3 linked regions of the Oryctolagus cuniculus genome follow. The protein of the gene in region 3 purifies or fractionates together with the protein of the main gene of each other region. This does not show direct contact. Links are inferred from orthologs where the notes say so. Each region holds a gene or a part of one and is shown on either strand. Other genes may lie near its edges.

Evidence for each region. The genes of interacting proteins can lie anywhere in the genome.
Region 1: the proteins of RAB5A (region 3) and CHM purify together in Homo sapiens (affinity purification with mass spectrometry; 3 studies listed by BioGRID and IntAct, counting the BioPlex papers as one, with this or other methods). This does not show direct contact. The link is inferred for Oryctolagus cuniculus from reciprocal best matches to the Homo sapiens genes RAB5A and CHM.
Region 2: the proteins of RAB5A (region 3) and GDI1 purify together in Homo sapiens (affinity purification with mass spectrometry; 3 studies listed by BioGRID and IntAct, counting the BioPlex papers as one, with this or other methods). This does not show direct contact. The link is inferred for Oryctolagus cuniculus from reciprocal best matches to the Homo sapiens genes RAB5A and GDI1.

The regions. Positions count from the first base shown.
Region 1 is NC_091453.1:64,953,537-64,957,973, forward strand, and holds part of CHM (rab proteins geranylgeranyltransferase component A 1), read left to right. Parts: intron 1-1,003; coding exon 1,004-1,120; intron 1,121-1,630; coding exon 1,631-1,751; intron 1,752-3,833; coding exon 3,834-4,059; intron 4,060-4,437. UniProt on the Homo sapiens protein: Substrate-binding subunit of the Rab geranylgeranyltransferase (GGTase) complex.
Region 2 is NC_091453.1:132,670,837-132,674,839, reverse strand, and holds the end of GDI1 (rab GDP dissociation inhibitor alpha), read right to left. Parts: intron 3,912-4,003; coding exon 3,780-3,911; intron 2,987-3,779; coding exon 2,887-2,986; intron 2,147-2,886; coding exon 1,975-2,146; intron 1,657-1,974; coding exon 1,512-1,656; intron 1,430-1,511; coding exon 1,375-1,429; intron 1,286-1,374; coding exon 1,133-1,285; downstream 1-1,132. UniProt on the Homo sapiens protein: Regulates the GDP/GTP exchange reaction of most Rab proteins by inhibiting the dissociation of GDP from them, and the subsequent binding of GTP to them. Promotes the dissociation of GDP-bound Rab proteins from the membrane and inhibits their activation.
Region 3 is NC_091435.1:155,565,947-155,571,178, reverse strand, and holds the start of RAB5A (ras-related protein Rab-5A), read right to left. Parts: upstream 3,212-5,232; 5' UTR 3,197-3,211; intron 3,150-3,196; exon of another isoform or gene 3,015-3,149; 5' UTR 2,703-3,014; intron 1-2,702. UniProt on the Homo sapiens protein: The small GTPases Rab are key regulators of intracellular membrane trafficking, from the formation of transport vesicles to their fusion with membranes.

The sequences.
Region 1 (4,437 bases), on a different chromosome or scaffold from region 3:
CCAAATGGCCGCAATGGCCGGAGCTGGGCTGATCTGAAGCCAGGTGCCAGGTAGCTTCTTCCTGGTCTCCCACATGGGTGCAAGAGTTCAAGCACATGGACCATCTTCTGCTGCTTTCCCAGGCCATAAGCAGAGAACTGGATCAGAAAAGAGGAGCAGCCGGGATTCAAACCGGTGCCCATATGGGATGCCAGCACCGCAGGCAGAGGCTTAACCCACTATGCCACTGTGCCGGCCCCGCATTTACATTTTTAACATTTATCAACTTATAGACATAGATTTAGCCAAACATTTAGCATTTAACCATATGGCTCAATTCACAGTATGACAGATAATACTGTTTAAATTATTGTTTTTGTGTTTCTGAGAGTAGTTATGAGAGATTTTGAAAGGTTAAATCAATCCTTTGTATACGTGCTGGAAGTAACTGTCATTCTTACTTATTGACAAACACATACTTCATATAAACCAAGACTGCTTGGATTATAGAGGGACCTTGTTATTGGAGTATTTTAGTGGAAGTACATCACTTATCTCTTTCTTTTTTGGTGGGTTGGGGAGGTCCATCAGTCTGATTTTTTACAACCACCTGGCCTACAGGGGCCTAGTATGTCTTATCATTCAGACTTCTAAAAAATATAGTATAAATTAATATTGAGACTGCTGATATGGTATGTATTATGTAACGTTCTTAGCAGGGTCCAAGAGGCACTCTGTGTCTAAACCCACTAATATTTCTGCAGAGAAATGTACGAATATTCACATTAAGAGGGACAGATAAAGACAGAAGTGCCTTATGTCAGTATGGATCATTTTTACAGTTTTTTGGATTTTGAGTTTTAGATAATCAGTTATGAAGTTGTCATAATATGTACTATAATATTTAAAGGTATACTTTTTTATAAATAATTTAAAATATAACTGAATTTTGTATATTTAGCACTTATCAATTTTCCGCTGTTGCACCTTTTACCTTATTCTCTAAAATATTTTCTTTATACAGCTGCTGTATTCTCGGGGATTGCTCATTGATCTTCTTATCAAATCTAATGTTAGTCGATATGCAGAGTTTAAAAATATTACCAGGATTCTTGCATTTCGAGAAGGAAGAGTGGAACAGGTACTGTGCTTACCAAGTATTGTATCTGGTTATGAGTTGAAGTTATTATGGGTTGTTTTGGAAGGATAAGCAGTAAGATTGTTACTCCTTGGTAAAGCAGTAAATTCTAATCCTGCCAAGTGATTTACAAGTGCAAAGTGTAAGCTTTGCTCAGTTACAGTTTCTCATGTTAATTTTCTCATGAGTTATTCCACAGCTTAATGTTGGTATTGAGAAAGTATTAGTTTCAGGCAGCACTGGTAGATTTAAGCTGTCACTTCTTTCCTGGTAAGGGTGATATGCCATTGGCCTTTCAGTGGCATGAGAAGCAACTTGGCAGAATTAAGAAAGAGAACTCACAAGTTAATTAGCTCTGAAGTTAACAGAGATGCCATTCGAACTAGACAGAGGTAACATGGAATATTCTGACCAGAATGGAAATAATCCTGTATATGTAAGAGAAGAAATTTTTATTTGTAATACTTGTATCATAAAGAAGCAGTTTCTTAATATTGTCATATTTTTTTTCAGGTTCCTTGTTCCAGAGCAGATGTTTTTAACAGCAAACAACTTAGTATGGTAGAAAAGCGAATGTTAATGAAATTTCTTACATTTTGCATGGAATATGAGGAACATCCTGATGAATATAAAGGTATTAGTTTTTATTTAATTGCATTCTCCAGCTATTTGATTTTTTTATGTTGTAGGAATTTATTTTAAATTACCTACAGTTCATTAAAAGGGAATTCATGATAGAAGATACTTGAAGAAAAATGTAGGGAAACATGCTAAATTAACAGTACCTTTAAAACTAATGATTATAGCAAAAAAGTCTTCACATTGAAATTCTGCTTCAGTTATTTTCCCATTTTTTATGCAATTACAAAAGAAAAAGTAAAATCCCTAAAATCTTAATTAGTTTTCATTTTTGGGGGGAATACTCATTTTCTTCTAAAGTATAACCTGTGCAACTCTTTATGCCACAAAATTTTTCAAGTCAAAGACTGGGGTTAAAAAAGAAAACGATGGATATCTTAAAGGGTATAGAGAATATTTGTATTTCTCTGATTTAATGAGCTACTTATTACTGCTTTAAAATGCTTTCTATTCCTGGACTATTTAGTAGGTCATTAGCAACATGTAGTATTTAAAAAACTAAATTAAAAAATGTAATTAAAATACAATTACTCAATCTCACTATCCAGATTTCAAGTGCTCTGTAGCAACATGTGGCTAATGGCTACTGCAGCTACCCTGCCGATATTTTCTTCATTTTACAAATTCTGTACTAGCCTTAAATTTTTAGTGTTGTTAGTTAAATGCTGCTATCAACTGGCTCTTCATAGATGATGTTGTCTTTTGTCACGGTATTTTTTTCTCATCAGAAGTAAGATGTATACTTAATAATTTTCAAGTATACTTATGCTTGGAATTTTGAAATATTCATTTTTATCGACAAAATATAAAAAGGCATGCAGTACATCAGGGAAGCCACTAGATTTGAAGACATGGTTTCTGGTCTTGGATGTGACTCATTTCACTGTGTGATCTAGGGCCTGTTACTTCAGTTTGTTGCACATTCAATGCATCATTTCAGCATCAGAGCTATATACTTTTTTTTCAAAAAAGATTTTATTTATTTGAGTGGTAGAGTTACAGACAGTGAGAGGGAGAGACAAAGGTCTTCCGTCCACTGGTTCACTTCCCAAATGGCTGCATCTGGGCCAATCTGAAGCCAGGAGCTGCTTCTTTGTCTCCCACACTGGTGCCGAGCCCAGGTGCTTGGCCCGTCTTCTACTGCTTTCCTAAGCCATAGCAGAGAGCTGGATCAGAAGGGGAGCAGCCAGGACTAGAACTGGTGCCCATATGGGATGCCGGTTCCACAGCTGCAGGATTAACCCACTATGCCACAGTACTGGCCCCAGAGCTAAACACTTTTAAGTGTGTTCAGCTGAAACTGTTACTCAGAATTGGAATACACTATTGCTAATTTATAAAGTTAAACTGAGAAGTACAGCAGTATTGTTTTTTTCTCTGAAGAAATAATAAGTCTGTTATTGCTGTTCTTGAAGTTTCAAGTCCATATGTTCTCTCAGTGAATTTTTATAATTTTTATTTATAAATGTTTTGCATTTTTTATGAGATTGTATTTCCTACTGCTATCATTCCAATTACATTGTTTTGTGTTCTTAGTTTAGGGGTCTCTTATGTTTTGAAGTGTGATTTTATAACAAGAAGACCAATTCTAGGAGCCATATAGAAACTCGTTTAATTACTTTTTAGTCATAGTTGAGTGCTATAAGTTTTAGTAAGAAGTATGCATTTCATGAATCATGTGTCATTTCATTAGTAAATTTCCATTTTGTCATATTTAATATTTTCAGGTGCAATTTTTGGTTTTATTCTGCAGTTTTTCAAGTTAATAAAGTGAGATTATTGCCAGCTATGGCAACTCATTGAGTTGTTTAATGATTTTCTGTCTTTTTACATCCATAAAATAGAAAACAAAAATTCATCATTTAAAGCATAAAAATTGTGCCAGTGATCTAATATGGATAGTGAGATTGTCTTTCCACCCCAAGATCAATCACTCTCCAAAATTTAATAATAATATTACCACCAGAGTTTTTTGTGAAGTCTTTTAGACAGACTTAATCTCATATTTTTGGGAGTGATTTTAAATAGAAATTTAGGTCCAATTTTAATTGATAAATTTTCATCTTTCTTTTCATAGGCTATGAAGAGATTGCATTTTCTGAATATTTAAAAACTCAAAAATTAACCCCCAACCTGCAATATTTTGTCCTGCATTCGATTGCAATGACATCAGAGACAACCACCACTACCTTAGATGGCCTCAAAGCTACGAAAAACTTTCTTCACTGTCTTGGGCGATATGGCAACACTCCATTTTTGTTTCCTTTATATGGCCAAGGAGAACTCCCACAGTGTTTCTGCAGGTGAGTTTGGCATTGATTCTCTTGTGTCTTCTGCAATTTATACTTAATTAACAAAGGAAATTAGAAAAACCAAAATAAGATTTGTTCAAGATTTCATATATGTGAATATACACTTTGTTCAAGTTGTTTTATAATCTTATTTGCCTCCCTACCTACTTATGTGATAGGTGAATTTTGGCCTCTTTTTTAAGCATTGTGATGATAGAGCTTCATAAAAACAATGTTAATTCTTTTTTCCACTGAGTGTTGTGTTTCAAGATAGCATCCTTGTATATAATTATAGTTTATTTTCATTGCTATATAGTACTTCATTGTGAATATGCTACAATCCATTTCCTTATTTTTATGTTGATGGGCACAAGAGCTTTCCAGTCTTTT
Region 2 (4,003 bases), on a different chromosome or scaffold from region 3:
CTCCTCCCTGCCTGACGTCAGGCCTTGGTTGTCCACGCTCCCCCTCACCTAATTGGCCATTGATCTGGAGACTGGCATCCCTGCTACCCTACCTGGGACTTTTGATTCCCATCCAAAGCGGGGCCCGAGTTCTCTCCCTCACCAGGCCTGAAGGTGGCAGTCCTGGTGCCAGCACTAACTCCCTGGAGGGCCCTGGGCAGATCAGTTGCATGTCAGCCTCCTCTGAAACGCCCTGATGAAGAATGTCAGCTTCCAGAGTCAGACCCCAACGCAGGGAGCCAAGGCCCTGCCAAGAACTACAGACGCAGGCACAGGTTTCAACACGGTTTTATTGGGAGGCTTTGTTTTCCGTGAAATACACTAGAGGTTGGGGAAGGGGACACATTCACTTCGCAAGGTAAGTAAGGGTTTCCCACCACTAAAGGAAAGGGGTGGGGCAGGGCACATGGGGTCGGGATCCATTTTCCCACCTCCTTCTGCTTTGCTCTCATTTCTTCTCTCTCTCAAGTACCAGAGAATGCAAACACAGACAAGAAACCAAAACAGAAGATCAAACTCCACCAGGGCCACACCTAAGCCTTCCCGGCTGCCCAGGCTAGGCCAGGACTGGGAGGGGCTGGGAGAGTTCACTGGACAGCCCCCAGGTTGCTCTAGGAGGATGCAGGCTCAGGTGGGGTGGGCTGCAGTTAATAAATTAGAATAAATTACGGGGAAAAGGAATGCAATTTTGTGCTGGGAGGGCCCCTTCTTTCCAACACACGAGAGTTGGTGGGGGGAGGCAGGGGGCATCTCCAAAGGCCACTACAGTAGGAGTAAGAGCGGTGGGGGCAGAAGCCAGCTTTTCCTCCATGTTCTTCCCAGACAGAGCAGAAGAATTAGGGGCGAGGGGAAGAGACACGCACGAAGAAAGGAACCGTCTTTTCCTAGGATAAGGAAGGGCCAAGGAAGAGATGCTATCCAACCCCCCATCTCCCAAACCATCGCTAAGGTTAAGGATTTGGTCAGTGAATCAATGAGGTGGGTAGTAGGAATGTGGTGGGGGAAGCAGAGATGCTGGAAACAGGGGTGCTGCCGCACATCTCCCTGGCCCTGCAGGACGCAGGAGGGGCGGCGGGGGCAGCAGGGGCAGCAGTCACTGGTCAGCTTCTCCAAAGACGTCGTTCTGTTTGCGCTTCATGTTCTCAAAGTCAAAGGCTGAGCCAGCCATGCGCTTGTAGATGTCCTTGATGTCATTGCAGGTTGTCTCAAAGTGTGTGGTGGCATCGTAGGAGCAGGAACAGAAAACCTGGCAACAGCCAGAGCCCAGGGCCTCAGGTGAGTTGGGCAGGGCGGCCGGGTGGGCGGCCGGGACTTGGGGCTGGGACAGGCACTTACCTGGCTCTCAGAACCATCATCAATGGGCTCGTACAAGTCACTGATAGCCACAAACCTGAGAGGCAGAGACAAGCCTCGCAACAGGCCCCGCCCTTCCTGGTCCTCCCCACCCCCTCGGGCTCCGTGCAACCCCTTACTTCTGGTCAATAGGCTCCAGCAGCTCCAGAGCTGGCTCAACCTCCTTTTCCGGCTCCGCAGTCTCCACTGTGGTGCTGGCAATGGCGATGTACTTGCCCTGCGCAGCCACGTTGTGTGCATAGGAGATCATGCACACGTAGATGTCTGGCCACGGGAAGTGCTCAGTTAGCACGGGCCAGAGTGAACACCATGCAAAGAGAAGGCGCCTAGGGGCTGCATGGGATCCTGGCCCACCTGATCCAATCACCCCGCCCCACACAATGGGCAGCATCCTGGCTGTCACCCTCCCAAGGAGAAAGAGTCCAAGCCACCCAATCCCTGGGGCCCCAAGTCGTGGGGACTGTCACGCGGCTCTCATTTCTGCTGTGGAGGGATCAGGTGGGGAGCCCCAAGGCTGACAGGGAGAGACGGAGCAAGCCCACAGAGAACACCCAGGAGGACGTCACGTGTGCCCCGGCCTACCTGACTTCCTGTTGACCTGGTTCTGGGGGATGATGATTTGGCAGGAATTGGCATCGTTGGTGTTCTTGATGGGGTGGCTGAGGATACAGATGATGCGGATAACCTGGCCAGCCTTCCGGACGCGGTCTGGGATGTAGCTGGGATCACAGATCAGCTGCTTGCAGCGGGCCACCTGTGAAGGCATCGGAGGGCTTTACCTCTGTCCGATCCCTGCCCTAAAACCTCGTGGGGCTGAGCCCACGCACGAGGCCAGGCAGCAGGCAGAGGCTCCACTCTCCTGGAACGCACAGCCACAGCCGGCAGGGCAGGCAGGTGAGTCCAGAAATGGGGTGAGCCCCGGCTGCAGGCACACTGTGATCAACAGTGCTTTCTGCACTACACACAGCTCGTGATCTTTGTGGCTTTTGTTTTTTTGGTTTTTCTTTTAAAGATTTGTTTATTTGAAAGACATAGTGACAGAAGGAAACACACACACACACACACACACACATCTTCCATCTCCTGGTTCCCTCCCCAAATGACAACAGCCAGGGCTGGGCCAGATCTAAACTAGGAGCCTGCAACTCCATGTAGCTCTCCCACGTGGGAGCAGGAGCCCAAGCACTTGGACCATCTTCCACTGCTTTCCCAAGCTATTAGTATGGAGGTGGCTCGGAAGTGGAGCAGCTGGGACTGGAACCAGTGCTCATAGGGGATGCCGACGTTGCAGCCAGTGGTTTAACCTGCTGCGCCACAGCACTGGCCCCAGTACACCACCTCTGAAGGGGACCTCCCGCCAACAGGAATGGCTTCTGGACCCCCAGTTCTCAGCTCTAAAGCCCTGGGGCTGAGGTGTGCAGCAGACCTGGCAGCAGAGGAGGTAGGCGAGCCCCGCCCTAACCACGATGGCCCCATGGCCTGGGGAAGGCTTACCTCTCCCTCAGACTTCACACCCACAACCTTGCCATTCTCCATGATGATGTCGTCCACAGGTTTGTTCAGCATGTATGTGCCCCCGTAGATGGCGCTCAATCTGTGGGAAGGGGAGAGAAGCTCAAGTGCCCCTCCCAGGAGAAATGGGGACCAAGTCTCCTGCACCGTGCCCTGCCACCACTGAGGTATAGAGGAGGCTTCCCCAGGCAGGCGGTGTCAGGACCCTCGGCAGTTTATCCCGGCCAGCACTGTGGGGTAGCGGGTAAAGCCACCACCTGTGACACCAGCACCCCATATGGGTGCCAGTTCAAGTCCTGGCTGCTCCACCTCTGATCCCTGCTAATGGCCTGAGAAAGCAGCAGGAGATGGCTCAAGTGCTTGGGCCCTTGAACCTTCATGGGAGACCTGGAACAAAGTCCTGGCTACTGGCTTTGGCCTGGCCCAGCCTTGGGCATGTGACCATCTGGGGAGTGAACCAGAGGATGGAAGATATCTATCTATCTCTCTCTCTCTCTCTCTCTCTCTCTATATATATATATATATATATATATATGCCTTTGGAATAAATAAATCTTTTAAAAACGTCACATCCCATCTTACTGTGGTCTTTGGAACTCCATGCCTAGAATATCCTGCAAAGGGCTAGTGTGAGGGTGGCCTGAAGGACCAGCGCCACACAGAAAGAGGAGCCTGAGGGACCAGAACAAAGTCCAGCTCCCCACTAAGCGCAGACTCAAGGTTCCTGAGTCTGCCTCCCAGGGCTTTGTGCTGGGGCTGTGTCCCCATCTCAGATGTCAGAGTAGGAAATGCTGTGGAAATCCCCAAGGGAGGCATTGCTATTGTTGCTCTCAGTCCCACTTAGTCATCCCAACTACACAAAGCCACGTTCTCACCTTGCAAAGCCCTGGGGCAGCTCGCCCAGGCCGTAGAGTGGGTATAAGTATGGGCTCTTGCCATACCGGGCCAGGGACTCACTGTACAACTTGATACGGTTAATGGTCTCCAGACAGGGCTGGTCCAGGTAGCTGGGGGGACAGAGGTCAGGGAAGATGCTCCAACAGGCTCCCTGGCTCACCCCACCACCCCGAATGGCCCAGGGGAGCCGGGGGGTCAAGTG
Region 3 (5,232 bases):
TTGTAGTTTTTGGAATTACAATATATGCCATTATTTTCTATTAAACAACACATTTGGAGAAAACTAGCCTGAAGGCAAATTCTTTTCTTACCAGTATCTAAAAGTGCTCATTTTTTTTCTTTCTTTTTTTAAGATTTATTTGAAAGGCTCAGTTAGAGAGAGGGAGAGACAGAGACAGGTCTTCCATCTGCTGGTTCACTCCCCCAAATGGCCACAACTGAAGCCAGGAGCCAGAAAAGCTTCTTCCAGGTCTCCCACGTGGGTACAGGGGCCCAAGCACTTGAGCCATCCTCCCAGCTTTCCCAGCAGGGAGCTGGATGGGAAGTGCAGCAACCAGGAATTGAACAGGCACCCATATGGGATGCTGGCACTGAAGGTGGCAGCTTACCTGCTACATCACAACCACAACCAAGGCTCCCAAATGTGCTAATTTTCAATTTCAAAGGAATTAGCAAATATTTGAAGAGCACTTTTCAACCTATTCACATCTTTAATAAAAATATGATTATATGCTTACTAATATACTAAATATGATTTCCTCTCTAAAAATGTAGCTATACTTCACTGAGTTACCTCATATAAGAAATTCGCCTTCCCTATAAAATTTTAGTTTTTATGAGACATATTATTGACAATTCACTAATATATTGATATCTTAATTCTAGACAATTAAGTTCACTTCTTGGCTTTATCTAAAACTCCAGCTTTGAAGCGTCTTTAACAGTACATGCTGATATATTTACAGATGAAATGATGTTTAAGCTGCTTCCAAACATAAGGTACAGGGGCTGGCACTGTGACATAGAGGATAAAGCTGCCGCCTGCAGTGCTGGCATCTCATACAGGTGCTGGTTCGAGTCCAGGCTGCTCCACTTCTGATTCTGCTCTCTGCTATGAACTGGGAAACCAGCAGAAGATGGCCCAAGTCCTTGGGCCCCTGAACCCTCATGGGAGACCAGGAAGAAGCTCCCGGCTCCTGGCTTTGAGTCAGCGCAGCTTAGGCTGTTGCAGCCATCTGGGGAGTGGACGAGCGGATGGAAGACCTCTCTCGATCTCTCCTCTCCTCTCTCTGTGTAACTCTTTCAAATAAATAAATCTTAAAAACAAACGAACACACACCATAAGGTACAAATAAAACTACTTCCCCATACTGTCCCAAACACAGTAAACTTGGGAGTTTAATCCTGGTAGTACCAATTTCTGTCTGGGCCAATTTTTTAATTTTCAAACTACATAATTTGCATAGTTGCCAGTTAATCACGTGATACAATATATATAATCTCTAATACAGTACCTATCATACAGCAGGGTTTGAATGGACAACTAAAGTGGCCCTTTGGTTACATGTCAAACACCAATAGAATGTCGTATAGGCAGAAAACGCACCAATTCGCTTTCAGGAATAAACATAGTTGAAACACTTCCCAACAGCCTCTTATCTACAAAACTGCTGATCATTTATCAAGGATACCATGTTCTGAATTTCTACAGTACTTCTGAAAATTTAGGGAAAACACCAGACACCCATAAAAAAGTCAAGCAAAATTGTGATTTACGTTTGCCTTCTAAGTTTTGAAGCCACTGAATCCTTATGCTACAAGGATCTCTAACAGGAAATAAATCAAAAACAGCGTAATATTAACAAGGTAAAAACTGCGTGCATTTACTCGTATTCACACTTACTGAGAATTCTCCCAGTTTTGCCAAACAAGGACTTTGCATTGTATGCATTTTTAAACTTGGAAATAACTAGTGTTCTGTAGTGCTCTTTTGCTCTTTTTAGGTCCTCTTTGATCAAAAAATCACTGGGTACTCATTCTGTGCCTGGCATGGTTACCAAGTACTTTGCTTACAACAACCCTAAGTGTTCAAACTATCTGCATTCGACAGTGAAAAGAACAAAGTTTCTGAGGAGTCCAGAATATTCCCGGAGTAGTGTAACAGTTTGATTCCACTTAAGCCAGGCCAAAAAAAATCAAATACGTAAACTAGGATGCTAGGAGCTTAAAAAGTCTGAAAGTCTCGAGGGGCTGACCAGTTCCCAGGGAAGACAGCATCAGGGCAGGTCTCCTGGTTTACCCACCAAGGGAGCTGTACGGCGGCCCAGTTACCTTTAATTTCCTTAAAGCTGCGGCTCGCCACCTGCCAGTCTCCAGAGCGGTTGTCTGGCTGAGCCTCCCAGCCCTTCCATTACCCATCTTTCGAAGGTAGGCGGAGCTCCCCAGATCCACACCTGCCCTAGGCCCCGGTCCCTGCTTGCAACACCTGAGCAGCTGAGAGCCGACTCCGGATCGCCCGAACAAACAGTACCCGCCAGGGCTCTGGGCCGTCCCGCCACCCTCCTCCCTTAAACCTGCACGGCTCTCCCTGGGACCCCCGGGCTGTCTGGAGAGGCCGGGCGGAACCACGGCCTCCGGTACTCTTTCCGCGGCGCCATCTTGAGAAGGGAAGAGGGTGACACCCGTCGGCTCCCTCACCCAGTCCCCAAATCGCGGTCTCCACCAGAACCCCTGGCGGCATGAGTCACCAGGGCTGGCAGGCCGACAGGCCCGGGTGCGGTAGCTCTGTGGTCCCGGAGACGGGCGCAAGTCGGGGAGGACGTGCTGGGGGCCCCGCCGCCCGCACAGCCGCGGGCAGGATGGAGACCGCGGCTCAGCCCAGCTCCAGACCCGCTCTGCACAGGGGAAGGCTGGTCTGGTTACCTGCGGCTGCGGCACGCGGGGCCGCGGCACCGCAGCTTGCTGGCGGCAGGGAGCAAGCGTGGCCCGAAGGACGGCAGCGAAGCGGAGGCTGTGGCGGCGACGGCGGCGTCTCCTCGCGTCGCTCGCCTCACACCGGACCGTGCGGGGCTGGAGCCGTGGTGCCGCCCCTGCCGGGCTCCGTCTCCGCCTCTCCGCGCTCCGCCTTTCTCTTTCCTTTCTCCTCCTCCGCCGCCGGCGCTCAAGTTCCGACGAATTCTTCCTCCTCCTCCTCCTCCCTCCTCCGCCTCCTCCCCTCAGGCCGGCCGCCGGCTCCTTCAAGAACCAAAACACAAACACTCAAGTCCCAACGCGGGAGCCACTTCCGCAGCCGGGCGCCGGCCCCGCCGCCACGTCGCTGCGCGCAGCGAGAGACGCCGCTTCGTCACTTCCGGTCGGCGCCAGTCCGTCCCGCCCCATCCGCTTCCCCGCCCCTCTCGAGGCGCACCCAGCCCTACCGGGGAGGGGGCGGGGCGCGGCGGGCTGTCACGTGGCTCTGCGCTGGGGCGGGTTTTACTGCCTTGTTGTGTCTGCGCCACGCCGGTTGCGCGCGACCGCGCCCTCGCAGCTCTTTTGTCAGCAGGGCGGAGGCCTCTGGGCTCCTGTGACTGGGGCTGGGTGGGGTATCCCGTGCTGCCCTGCTTTGGGGGAAGACCTAAGGCGCTTGAGTTTGTTGCGCCCAGCCCTTTGTTGTAAGTGTGAGCTCACAGTCCCCTCCATCCCGCCCCGCACCACCCCAATCCTGGTGACTTGGCCTAAGGGGTTTTTTTGAGGGAGGTTGTAACAGGAGACACGCCTACTGTGTCCCTGAGGCCAGGTGTGTCTGTAAAGGAAGGTAAGTCGTTTGTACCGCCGGCAGGAAGCTAGGACCCTCTGCATCCTAAAGCCGTCTTTAGTGGCAAAGCATTAAAACAGTTGGCACGTAAGAAGCGCTTACCTGTTTTTGGTAGGGTACATGTTAAGCAAACCTGTTGTTCAGATTTCCCTTTGGGAGTTACAGTACTAAACGTTTTACAGTAGGTACAAGTCTTTGTGAAACCAGCTTGTGAATCGTCGTGTGGGCACATTAACACTAACTTCCCAAACTGGTCCTCACCTCTGTGAACCTGGCTAGCACGTGGCCAGGCAGCTAAGAATCTTCAGGCATGGCTTTGGGATTAATGAATGAGGCGTGCCTGCTTTACAGGTAACGCGCTCGAAGCACAGAGATTGTGTAACTTGTACAAGACTGGGAATTCTTTTTAAAGATGTATTTATTCAAAAGGCAGAGTAACAATATTTCTTCCATCCACTGACTCACTTCCCAAATGGCTGCAATGGCAGGGCCTGGCCTATGCTGCCAAGAGGCTTCAGCTCCTTCCTGGTCTCGCAAGAGAGTATCAGGGGCTAAGTACTTGGGCCATCATCCCCTGCATTAGTAAATAAGGATTGGAAGCAGAGCAGCCTGGGTTCAGACTAGCTGTTCAAAAGGAGACTCAGCATTGCAAGTGGCAGCTTAACCTGCTGCCTGTGCCTTGACCCTCTGTGCTGCGTACAATACAATGCTGGCCCCAGAATGTCAGTTCTTATACAAAGTTCCGGTGAAAGACCACAACCTGAGCTGGTTGTTGCCCTCTGCAGCAGATCCTCTTAAGCATGCTTTGGTAAAATCCCAGATCATAGTTAGTTTCTGGAAAGCGTCTAAAACCAACCCCTCTCCCCTTGATCGTTGCTTTTTCCCCAGAATAAGGGATGCTTTGCAGTTTATAATTTACAACTTACAGTCCTGCTGTGAAGGCATGAATATTGTCTTTGGAGTGTACCTGGGCTAAGGTATCCTGTGAGTGCTCGGTCAACATTGTGCAATGAAGATGATTTGAACCCTTGACTAACTAGCTCGTCTTTCAGCACCTCCCCAGTTACTAGAAGAGCATAATATGGCATCTGTGAATGGTATCTGTGGCACTGCATCCTGAAAGGCCTGTTCTGATGTTGCATAAGTCATGGTCATAGCTCTAGGACGATCCCAGAAAGAATCAGGAAATAGGATATGTCATGTTAGTCTTGTCATGTCAATAGCATGTCCCAAGCCAAACCTATTCCACTGCAAGCCTGTTTGCATTGTTTATTCAGTGCCATTAAGAACCTCTGTCACCCAGACTTGGAACTACAGAATCATTTTCAGCTCTTCTTTTCTTCCCCATAAAGCACTGGCCATTCTGTTTCTAAAAATCCTCAAATCCCCAAATTTGAGAACTAATTCAAATGCCTGGACCATAGAAGCATTCTTGTTAAAAAAATTTTTTATTTATTTATTTGAAAGTCAGAGTTACACAGAAGAGAGGCAGAGAAAGAGAGAGAGAGTCTTCCATCCGGTGGTTCACTCCCCAACTGGCAGCAACAGCGGGAACTGTGCTGATCAGGAGCCAGGAGCTTCCTCTGGGTCTCCCAGGTGGGTTCAGGGGCCAAAGGTCCTGGGCCATTGTCTACTGCCTTCTTGGGCCATAGCAGAGAG